2 linked regions of the Arabidopsis thaliana genome follow. The protein of the gene in region 1 interacts with the protein of each later gene in a pairwise test. Each region holds a gene or a part of one and is shown in the gene's direction. Other genes may lie near its edges.

What was found.
Region 2: the proteins of DEL2 (region 1) and CAK1AT interact in a two-hybrid assay, tested with the Arabidopsis thaliana proteins (one large-scale study listed by BioGRID).

Annotation. Positions count from the first base shown.
Region 1 is NC_003076.8:4,841,985-4,847,244, forward strand, and holds DEL2 (DP-E2F-like 2), read left to right. Parts: upstream 1-1,870; 5' UTR 1,871-1,981; coding exon 1,982-2,052; intron 2,053-2,156; coding exon 2,157-2,224; intron 2,225-2,384; coding exon 2,385-2,437; intron 2,438-2,544; coding exon 2,545-2,622; intron 2,623-2,701; exon of another isoform or gene 2,702-2,723; coding exon 2,724-2,780; intron 2,781-2,858; coding exon 2,859-2,937; intron 2,938-3,347; coding exon 3,348-3,415; intron 3,416-3,505; coding exon 3,506-3,575; intron 3,576-3,667; coding exon 3,668-3,729; intron 3,730-3,819; coding exon 3,820-4,219; intron 4,220-4,315; coding exon 4,316-4,389; 3' UTR 4,390-4,680; downstream 4,681-5,260. UniProt on the Arabidopsis thaliana protein: Inhibitor of E2F-dependent regulation of gene expression. Binds specifically the E2 recognition site as a monomer without interacting with DP proteins. May be up-regulating E2FA and down-regulating repressors of cell cycle progression.
Region 2 is NC_003075.7:14,286,334-14,291,413, forward strand, and holds CAK1AT (CDK-activating kinase 1AT), read left to right. Parts: upstream 1-2,063; 5' UTR 2,064-2,137; coding exon 2,138-2,638; intron 2,639-2,830; coding exon 2,831-3,769; 3' UTR 3,770-3,783; exon of another isoform or gene 3,784-4,105; 3' UTR 4,106-4,580; downstream 4,581-5,080. Other genes in the region: AT4G28990 (RNA-binding protein-like protein), read left to right, coding at 4,872-5,061. UniProt on the Arabidopsis thaliana protein: CDK-activating kinase that modulates CDKD-2 and CDKD-3 activities by phosphorylation of the T-loop. Activates CDKD-2 C-terminal domain (CTD) kinase activity. Activates CDKA-1 probably by phosphorylation.

The DNA of each region.
Region 1 (5,260 bases):
ATGCCAGTGGGTGTTATGGTCTTTTCGACATACGCTACTTTTTTTTAAGGCCCAAGTTGGTGAGTAACTTTTTTTGGGGTCGGTTACTGTTGTGGAGTAAGTCTAGTATCTTTACTGGTTTAGATTATTATTAGATAACCCTAAGGTCAGTTTTATAATTATAATTATTATTATATTTAAGAGTTTAATATTTGTATGGTATCATTAGAAAATAGGAAAATTATTAATCATCAAATCTTTGAAAGACTAATGATAAAATTTATTATCTTATAGTATAACTAAATTTTGACTTTTTGTTTCAAAATATTTATAAATGCAGATTTCTACGTTAAAGGTCTAAAAAAACAATTTCTGCAAAAGTCCTAGCTAGATGATCACGTTTTACATACAACTAAAACATCATTAGAACATGTGTATTGCATTGTAGGTCGGTATTGCACGGTATTATTTTATTAGTTTAGTTATGAGAAAACACTTACAATAAAGTTTGTAATTTTGTGATAAATGTAAACTAAAGTATCACTTTTCTATGTTTAGTCAGGAAATTGTTTTGCAAAAATACTCTCCAATATCATGCAAAACATAAGTGATTTCTAAAGCTATATTTTCCTAACAATATTCTCCATGCCGTTGTCTCTTGTCTCATTTGTTCCTTTCATTTGATCGGATCTCAACTACAAGAACATATTAAACTAACTTCCAACACACTGATCGAAAGAGTTTTTGACATTTTTGTTACGTTTTGACGGAATACTACAGTTTTCCACATGTGGATCGCTTGCATAAGACAAAGTTTTGATGGCTTTCACTCGTTCAAAACTATGTGAGACTGAATTATCAGCCAAAAAATCATCAACGTTTACACAAACATAAAATTTAGCATGAGGAACGGGTTTTCCATGTTTCGACAACATGACTTATTGAAAGATAATAGGCAAAATGTTTCCACCATAAAGGGTGGTGCAAGAAAACTTATATTGCTCTTACGGTGAAACCCTAGAACGGCTCAATAAAAGATCTTACCATTTTAACTATTTGAGTTTCTCTTTCGAGGAATAAGAGCCAAATATCCTATCTAAACTTCGGGAACACGATATATTATTTAGAAAGATAAAGCATTTACATAAAACGGTTAAATTTTATACGAAAGTCCTACATGTACACTAATAAAGGGTTGAAAGTCTAAACATTTTTAATGCATATTAACCATTGAAGTTTAAACCGCTGATCAATAACGATGAATTTGATACGTCATGTTAATGAGAAACTTTTCCGCTTCATTGCTTTACTTGCTAAAATCTTTATTCTGAGGAAATATATCAATCTCGTGTTCATATGAATAAATGTGTGACTCATATCATAAAATCCTTTTTAAGTATAAATAAAAAGCGCGTTCTATAGACACACGTAATATTTTTTTTTGAACAATGAATGATGGAAATATCAAATAAGTAACAAAAAGCTCAAGGTATAAAGACACATAAGTTTTTTTTCCAAAAAACTAATGATAGAAATAAGTAACAAAAACGTGAGCTACAGAGACACGTTATATTTTTTTTTGAAAAACTAATGATAGAAAGTATTATCAACATGTAAAAAGAAACCTTATCGAATGGATATCATAAAAAGGACAATAACAACCAAATCTTTTTGCTATAAAATTATGATTACATGATTATTAACATGTTTAAAACCTCTAATTACATAAATATATACACTAAATATTTACAAATTAATTTAAAAGTAATACCTATTAAAGAAAAGTAAAAAATCAAAAAGCAAAGTGTAAAATTAGACAATAACATTTAACCCCGGGAAAACAAGTGATAGTATTTCCTAATTTGAAAAGACCCCGCCTATAATTATAAAAGGTTTCCGAGGTCACAACAAAGCTCAGATCCAAACACAAGTCTTGTCTCTCTTTCTCTCGCAGGTCACCGAGAAAATATCTTTTGTTGTCTCCACCCACCCCACCCAGGTTATGGATTCTCTCGCTCTCGCTCCCCAGGTTTACAGCCGCAAGGACAAATCTCTCGGCGTTCTTGTCGCCAAGTATCTCTCTCTCTCTGTCTATTACGATTCTCCTGATTTTGATTTTTCAAATTCACGTTTCCGTTGAATTTAATATCTACTTACTCTATTTATGTTACTTTCAGTTTCTTGACACTGTATAATCGTCCCGATGTTGATCTATTTGGGCTCGATGATGCCGCCGCGAAATTAGGTGAATTTTATTTATCATGTCTTCCCATTAATTTTGTGTTCGATTGGGTTTTGGATAAATTATATTATGCGTTATCCAATTGATTCTAGAATAAAAAGACAAGAAAATCGCAATATCATTTTGGCTTTGTTTTAATTTTGGTTGGTATCTGAAATTGTAGGAGTTGAACGTCGGCGTATTTATGATGTGGTCAATATATTGGAGAGTATTGGGGTATAATATTTCATGTTTGATGATGTTTTTTTATTTTCATATTGTGTTTGATTGATTTGAAATTTTGAGGTGATTAGTTTTTGTGATGTTGTGTTTTTGTTACACAGCTTGTTGCAAGAAGTGGGAAGAATCAGTATTCGTGGAAAGGTTTTGGAGCTGTTCCTCGTGCTCTATCTGAACTCAAAGTACTTAATAAACGAATCAATCTATATGTTTTTTTGTTTTTGTTTAGCTTCTTCAGGATTGGTTTGGTTGAGTTTTGAGTTTTGTGTCTTTTGTTTTACAGGAAGAGGGAATGAAAGAGAAGTTTGCGATCGTCCCTTTTGTGGCCAAGTCAGAGATGGTAATTTCATATTTCAGTTACTTTGTTGTGCTTATGATTCTGATAAACATCAATGAAACGAGATTCTTATTTGAATAGGTCGTTTATGAGAAAGAAGGAGAAGAATCTTTCATGTTATCTCCTGATGATCAAGAGTTCTCACCATCTCCCAGACCTGGTAATGTCTCTTATGTTGGAGCATCATTGATTATAGTGAAGGGCTTAGTATTAATTACTCTAGGCATTTTCCTTTTTAGTTCATGCATTTACTTTCAGTCTAGGATCCCTTAGTTTATGCTTGTGATTTTTGCATAAGAATGCGCTAGTCAGTGAAATTGTTCAGGATAGGATTCGTGTTGGAAGCTAACTTGGTAATATCTTATGTTGGAACATCATTGATTAGTGATGGACTCAGTATTACTCTATGCATTTTCCTATTTAGTCCATGCATTTACTTTCAGTTTAAAATCTGATACAAATGAAAACTAGTCCTTGTTTGTGATTTTTGCATAAGAATACTCTAGTCAGTGAAATTGTTCAGGATAGGATTCGTGTTGGAAGCTAACTAGTTGTTTTTGCTATTTTTAGACAACAGGAAGGAGAGAACTCTCTGGCTACTTGCACAGAACTTTGTGAAGCTGTTTTTATGCTCTGATGTAAGTGAATAAGTGTTACGGCATCTCTCTAAACAAGTCTGACCAATGACCAATTTATTGACACCTCTATTGTTGCTACTTTGATGTCAGGATGATCTGGTAACATTTGATAGCGCTACAAAAGCATTGCTGAATGAGTCTCAGGATATGAATATGAGAAGTAATTCTAATTCCTTCCCTTAATCTTTTTTGTTCTCTGATTATTACATACATAAGCAATAACCAAACCCCATTTCTGTAAACTCTAAGCAGAGAAAGTTAGACGCCTTTACGACATTGCAAATGTGTTTTCCTCAATGAAGCTAATCGAGAAGGTACAATTACTATATGAGCCTGTTCCTAAAATATTACAATATGCACAATCTTGGATACTCAAATCTCTCTCATCTTTTGTGTTCATGCAGACTCATGTCCCAGAGACTAAGAAGCCGGCATATAGGTGGTTGGGATCTAAAACCATATTTGAAAACAGATTCATTGATGGTTCTGCAAGCTTATGTGATCGTAATGTGCCTAAAAAGCGGGCATTTGGGACCGAACTCACAAACGTTAACGCAAAGAGAAACAAATCAGGTTGTTCTAAAGAAGACAGCAAGCGTAATGGAAATCAAAACACAAGCATTGTTATCAAGCAAGAACAATGTGATGATGTGAAACCGGACGTGAAGAATTTTGCCTCTGGATCATCCACTCCTGCAGGCACTTCTGAGAGTAACGATATGGGAAACAACATTAGGCCAAGAGGTAGACTTGGAGTTATCGAAGCCCTTTCTACTCTTTACCAACCATCATATTGCAATCCTGGTAAAAAACTAGTTTCTTTCATATATGTTTTCCTTATATCTATAATAATCTGTGGGGACTTTTTACAAACCAAAGTTTTTTTTTTTTGGTGAACAGAGTTACTTGGTCTTTTTGCGCATTACAACGAGACATTTAGGTCATATCAAGAAGAGTTTGGTCGGGAGAAATGACTTAATCATCAGGTAGATTAACTTGCGGGGCGTAACTTCAATTCTCTAATCACAAGCCAAATTTCTTTTGCTCATTTGCGTTAAACTACAGAAAAACTCTTACAATAGAGATTATTACATGCAAATCGAAGCGTTATCTTTTGGTTTTTTGTAGAAAAAAATAAAAACTTAAAGTAGCTAACCGTGTAGTTTTAATTTTCTAGCGTTCCTTTATTGTTACAATTTACAAATGGATACCATTTCAGTTCTATGATTATATATCTATGTTGAAAGGAATTTTTAAAAGCACAAAAAGTTTAAACTTTAATCTGTTAATGCTTTTGTCGTTTGGTATGGTTCAATTTTTATCCTTAACTAATGGTAACTGCTGAATTTGGTTGAACTAGCTAAATTGGCTGGAATTGGAATACAAGTGATACATCATTTGTGGGATTAAGAGAAAAAGCTGATTATGTTTCAAAAACAAGCAAAAAAACTCTTAGCTAGTTCAACCAAATGTAGCGGATCGTTCCATTTAACTAGCTAGTTTTACTATTTTTGGATATTCTATTAAACAAAAATCGAAATATTCAGCCAATTTAGCTAGTTCAACCAAATTCAGTAGTTTATTTTAGTAGAATTTTTAGTAAATAAATTTGTCTTATTTTTGAGATATTTTTAGTTGGTTGATGTGGTTCTAGGAAACTTGTAAAGTAGTAGAAATATATTGAAAAGGGTCAGTTTCTTGATTAGTGTATATATTAATCGACCAAACATAAGAAAAGACCAAAATCTTTGGCTTAGTGGGCTCAGATAAATAAAACGAACGAAGGAAGATTTTTCTTAAATTTAAAGAAAAAATCATAATTATCAAAAATATTTAAGGAAACAA
Region 2 (5,080 bases), on another chromosome or scaffold:
TTTAAGATGAGTTGCATCCACAACTATCACTTTCCGCATTGCCCTAAAACCTTCAATGCAAGCGCCTAATGCAATGAAGAGGTACTTGAACTTTTTCTCTCCTTCCAACTCCACATAAGTTACTGTCCCTGGATTTACCTTCTCTAACATGTAAAGATAAGAAAATAACATCGTGTAGCTTCTTTCCGGAGTCCCTCGCACATCACTAACATGTAGCATTTTGCCTCTTAAGGCAGTGGAGTATGAACAATGCACCCCAAGTCTTCCTCTTACAATCGACATAATGTTTTTTGGAGTTGGGGTCTCTAAATTTCCGGGATAATCACAATGTAAAACCGATGCTATTAATCTTGGTGTGCCTCGCTGTATACTGTTGCTTGTAGTCTCAACACTCCGAGAGCATGTATGCATCTTTCTATGCACTCTAACACTCCAAAAATGAGATTTTTTAGTTCTCGCAACTCTTAGATACCAAGTACACCCTTTAGAAGCTTGGCGGCATCGTAGCATAAGTCTCAACGGGTCTGACTTAATAGTATAGACTCCAAAAACTTCTTTCTTTGCAGCTCTGTTAACCAATTCCCACACAGCCTCCCTTGAACAAAATTCTTGACCAATTTCAATACCCGTACCATCATCCCATTCTATAACCTGCGGAGTAACTTCTACACTTCGTGGAATATCGTGAATATCATCATAATCAATCCTATCATCCTCATCTTGTTCCTCAACAGAATTCACCGGCCTTTCCATCGGCCTTTCGATAGCCACGATCTCCGTACCTACTACATTCTCACAATCATTCACATCATTATCATATCCATCATGCACCATCTCACATACTTCATTTAAAACATCATCCTCTATTACATTTACACCAACTGAACTTCGACGCTCCGGTACAGAAATTTCCTCTCTCCTCTCAACTCCTATACCATTTAATTCCTCCACATGCAAAACAGGAATCCGACTCTCTTCATCAGATTCTGTTAAAAATATGAAGACATCCTCATCATTTACAATATATGTCTCTCTCCTAACTTTAGACAGATTGTAACTCAGTTTCAACTTGACAGAAGCTTCATCAATCGCAACCTTCTTCATGATCTTGTCAACTAACATCGAATAGCTAATCTTCTCCAAACTACTCGTCTTAAACGATATAACATATAGTGAATTTTTACCAATCCACTCATTCACTTCAGAATAGTATCCTCCAAAGTCAAAATGTACCTTAGTGTGGATCTTCTTCTTCATCGCTCCTGAAAATACAACCAGTTCAACTCCAATCAAACATTTTAATAGTTATACCACATGTACTCTTATCATACGTTGAAATCAATCTCTCGTCGCACTCGTCTCTACTGAACCTAATTCGTTACCTTTCAATTGATTTCCAATGTTAATACATACCTATTCGTTAAACTAATTGGTTAATCTAAACTTTGCAAACACAAACCCCCCAAATCTTTAATATGAAATCTCGGAATTCAAATTCAACTCACATTCAACCTACATTCCTTTGCTCATCACCTCAAATAACGTTTCGGCAACCTCTAATCGATTACTCTTTACTTTGCAAACCAATCATCAAACTATCAAATTGAATCGAGCTGGGAATTATATAGAATTCAAAATCCCAATCTAAAATCACAATGCACCAATGTCAAAGGAAATATGAGAAGAAACTGACCTAATTCGTGGCTTTTACGCCGGATTTCAAGTCGGCGGCATGAGGAAATCGATGGTGGCCGACGAAGAAGATGAACGTCGACCAAAGAAGAAGAACACGACGACGAAGAGGAGAATCTCCGAACTCGATTTTCTTTATTTAGCTTTTGAATTTCTTTTTCATTTTTTTAATCAACTCATTAAGGGTACAACTGGTATATCACATTTTCGGTGGCATTCAGATTAACTTATGGCAGTCCAGATCAGTTTTTTCAAAAAAGTGGCATAAGTGATAAAAGTCCCCCCCTGCGGTTTGGTTTCTTGTCCGCTCCAAAACTTGTGAGGGCATTTTAGTCATTACAACATGGGAACTGGATTTTTAAACTGGTGAATTCGTTAGCGTTTATGTGAATAATCATCCATCATCAGGAAAGATCCGAAGAAAAGCGACGCCGTTTTAAAGGAGATGGATAAACAACCGGCGACCAGTTGGAGTATCCATACCCGGCCGGAGATAATCGCCAAGTACGAGATCTTCGAGCGAGTCGGATCCGGAGCTTACGCCGACGTTTACAGAGCTCGCCGTCTCTCCGACGGTCTAATCGTCGCGCTCAAGGAGATTTTCGATTACCAATCTGCGTTCCGGGAGATTGACGCGCTCACCATCCTCAATGGATCTCCTAATGTAGTTGTTATGCACGAATACTTCTGGCGTGAGGAAGAGAACGCTGTGCTTGTGCTTGAGTTTCTTAGGTCGGATCTCGCTGCGGTGATCCGAGATGGTAAGAGGAAGAAGAAGGTAGAAGGAGGGGATGGATTCTCGGTTGGGGAGATTAAGAGATGGATGATTCAGATTTTAACCGGTGTTGATGCTTGTCATCGGAATTTGATTGTACATAGAGATTTGAAGCCTGGGAATATGTTGATTTCTGATGATGGAGTTCTTAAGCTTGCTGATTTTGGTCAGGTGAGATTATGATTGTTACTGATTGTGTTAGTTATTTCATTGTTTGATGCACAAATATGAGAAACCTCTGAATGAAAAATGCTTGGTTTGCTTGAAATTTGGAAGAGTTAGTGTAATCAAGTGGCTAGACCTTATCATTTAGTGTAATCTATGAGTTTCTAAATGTGTGTTGGCTTCTTGGTTCATATACAGGCTAGGATACTCATGGAGCATGATATTGTAGCTTCAGATGAAAACCAACAAGCTTACAAACTGGAAGACAAAGATGGAGAAACCAGCGAACCACCAGAAGTTATTCCTGATTATGAGAACTCACCTAGGCAAGGGTCTGATGGTCAGGAACGGGAAGCGATGAGTAAAGACGAGTACTTCCGACAGGTGGAAGAGCTCAAGGCTAAACAGGTTGTTAGAGATGATACTGATAAGGACTCGAATGTGCATGATGGAGACATATCTTGCCTTGCAACGTGCACTGTTAGTGAAATGGATGATGATCTCGGTAGGAACTCGTTTTCTTACGATGCTGACGAAGCAGTGGATGATACACAGGGTTTGATGACATCTTGTGTGGGAACCCGATGGTTTAGGCCACCAGAACTGCTCTATGGATCTACGATGTATGGGTTAGAGGTCGATCTATGGTCGCTTGGTTGTGTGTTTGCAGAACTCTTGTCTCTTGAGCCTTTGTTCCCAGGAATTTCAGATATTGATCAGATCAGCAGAGTGACCAATGTGCTGGGAAATTTAAATGAAGAGGTCTGGCCTGGTTGTGTTGATCTTCCAGACTACAAGTCAATCTCATTTGCTAAAGTAGAATCTCCTCTTGGTATTGAAGGATGCCTTCCCAACCATTCAGGGGATGTGATATCGCTGCTCAAGAAGCTTATCTGTTATGATCCAGCTAGTAGAGCTACTACTATGGAGATGCTGAATGACAAATATTTAAGTGAAGAGCCTCTTCCAGTTCCAGTTTCAGAGCTCTATGTGCCTCCGACAATGAGTGGACCAGATGAGGATTCTCCGAGAAAGTGGAATGATTACAGAGAAATGGATTCAGATTCAGATTTTGATGGCTTTGGACCCATGAATGTAAAGCCTACCAGTAGTGGATTTACAATAGAATTCCCCTGACCTTGGCATTTAAGGTACGCAGTCAAAAGCTCTGGCTCGCTTAAACACATAAATCAGTCTCTTCTCTCTCTCTCTTTCTTCTTCAAAGAGAATGGGTATATACCAAAACCTGACATGTGTTTCTTTAGGTCTTGATTGATGCAACACTCTTTGTTGTTTGAAGATCTTGTTACAGAATACCGCTTAGAAAATTGTTAACTTTTCGTTAGGACATTGTTTAGGTATCAATGGCGGCAAAAACTTTTGAAATTCGTTTGCTCATTGATCTCACAACTTTTTTTTGCGCTTTGTTTCTCTCATCGATCTCAGTTTTATGTGTTTATCTCTCCTTGGCAGAGTCCATGGTTGAGCATCTTGATCATCCCGACTTCCCCTGAATTCGCCTACTTTGTCAAAAATGTGTTGTGTGTGTGTGTGTGTTGTTCCTCTCTCTCTGCCTCCCTCGTATGAAAATGGTAACATTTACAATTGGAAAGTCGGTGTTAGCCTTTAGCTATTAGCTGAAGAGCTAGTTTTCTTGTTGCCCAGGCCATTCTTTACCCTATTTTTCATCTGAAGTAACAATGAAACAAAATCTATATATACTCGAGTTTTGCTTTCTAGGATCTGTATTTCTTAATTGTTTCTATATTTTGATCAATTTTGAACTTTTCATATCAAGTTATCAACATGTGTAGTAGCAACCCTTCAATAATGAGACCATGGAATAAAAGCCTATCCTATATGTCATCCAGTTTTTGCTAAGATAAATTATTTTCAGTTACCCAAATTACATAATCAAAACTGATATCATAAACAACAAAAATAGCACACACAAAAATCATAACTGAATCTGATTCTTCCAGAAATGTGAACTGTTGTTTACTATAAAAAGAAGAAAACCAGAACCACAATACATTTGACTCCATGAATCAGTCATACTAGTCCAACATACTAAATATAAAACTTAAGGGGCAATATTGAAAATTAGACAAAAGTTGATAGACCAAAAGATAAATTAATAACAGTTACCAGTATCTATCGCCAAGTCTCCCCTAGGGTTTTTTTTCTCTGAAACGGACATCGAGAAATTCCAGGAGTGAGTTTTGACAATCGGAGAGAAATGGGGTCGACAGAAAAAGAGCAGACGACGCAACATCACCCGCCTCACATCAGCAGTCTCGTCGTACGTCCCTCCGGAAGCAACGACAGAGAAGACGGCCGCAACGCCGCCGGAGACTATGAGCCCGGAGAAGTCTCTCGTGACCGGCCTTCGTTTAATCGCTCGGATCGGTATAAGGGTGACAATGGTGGTTCGTATCTCTTCTAAAC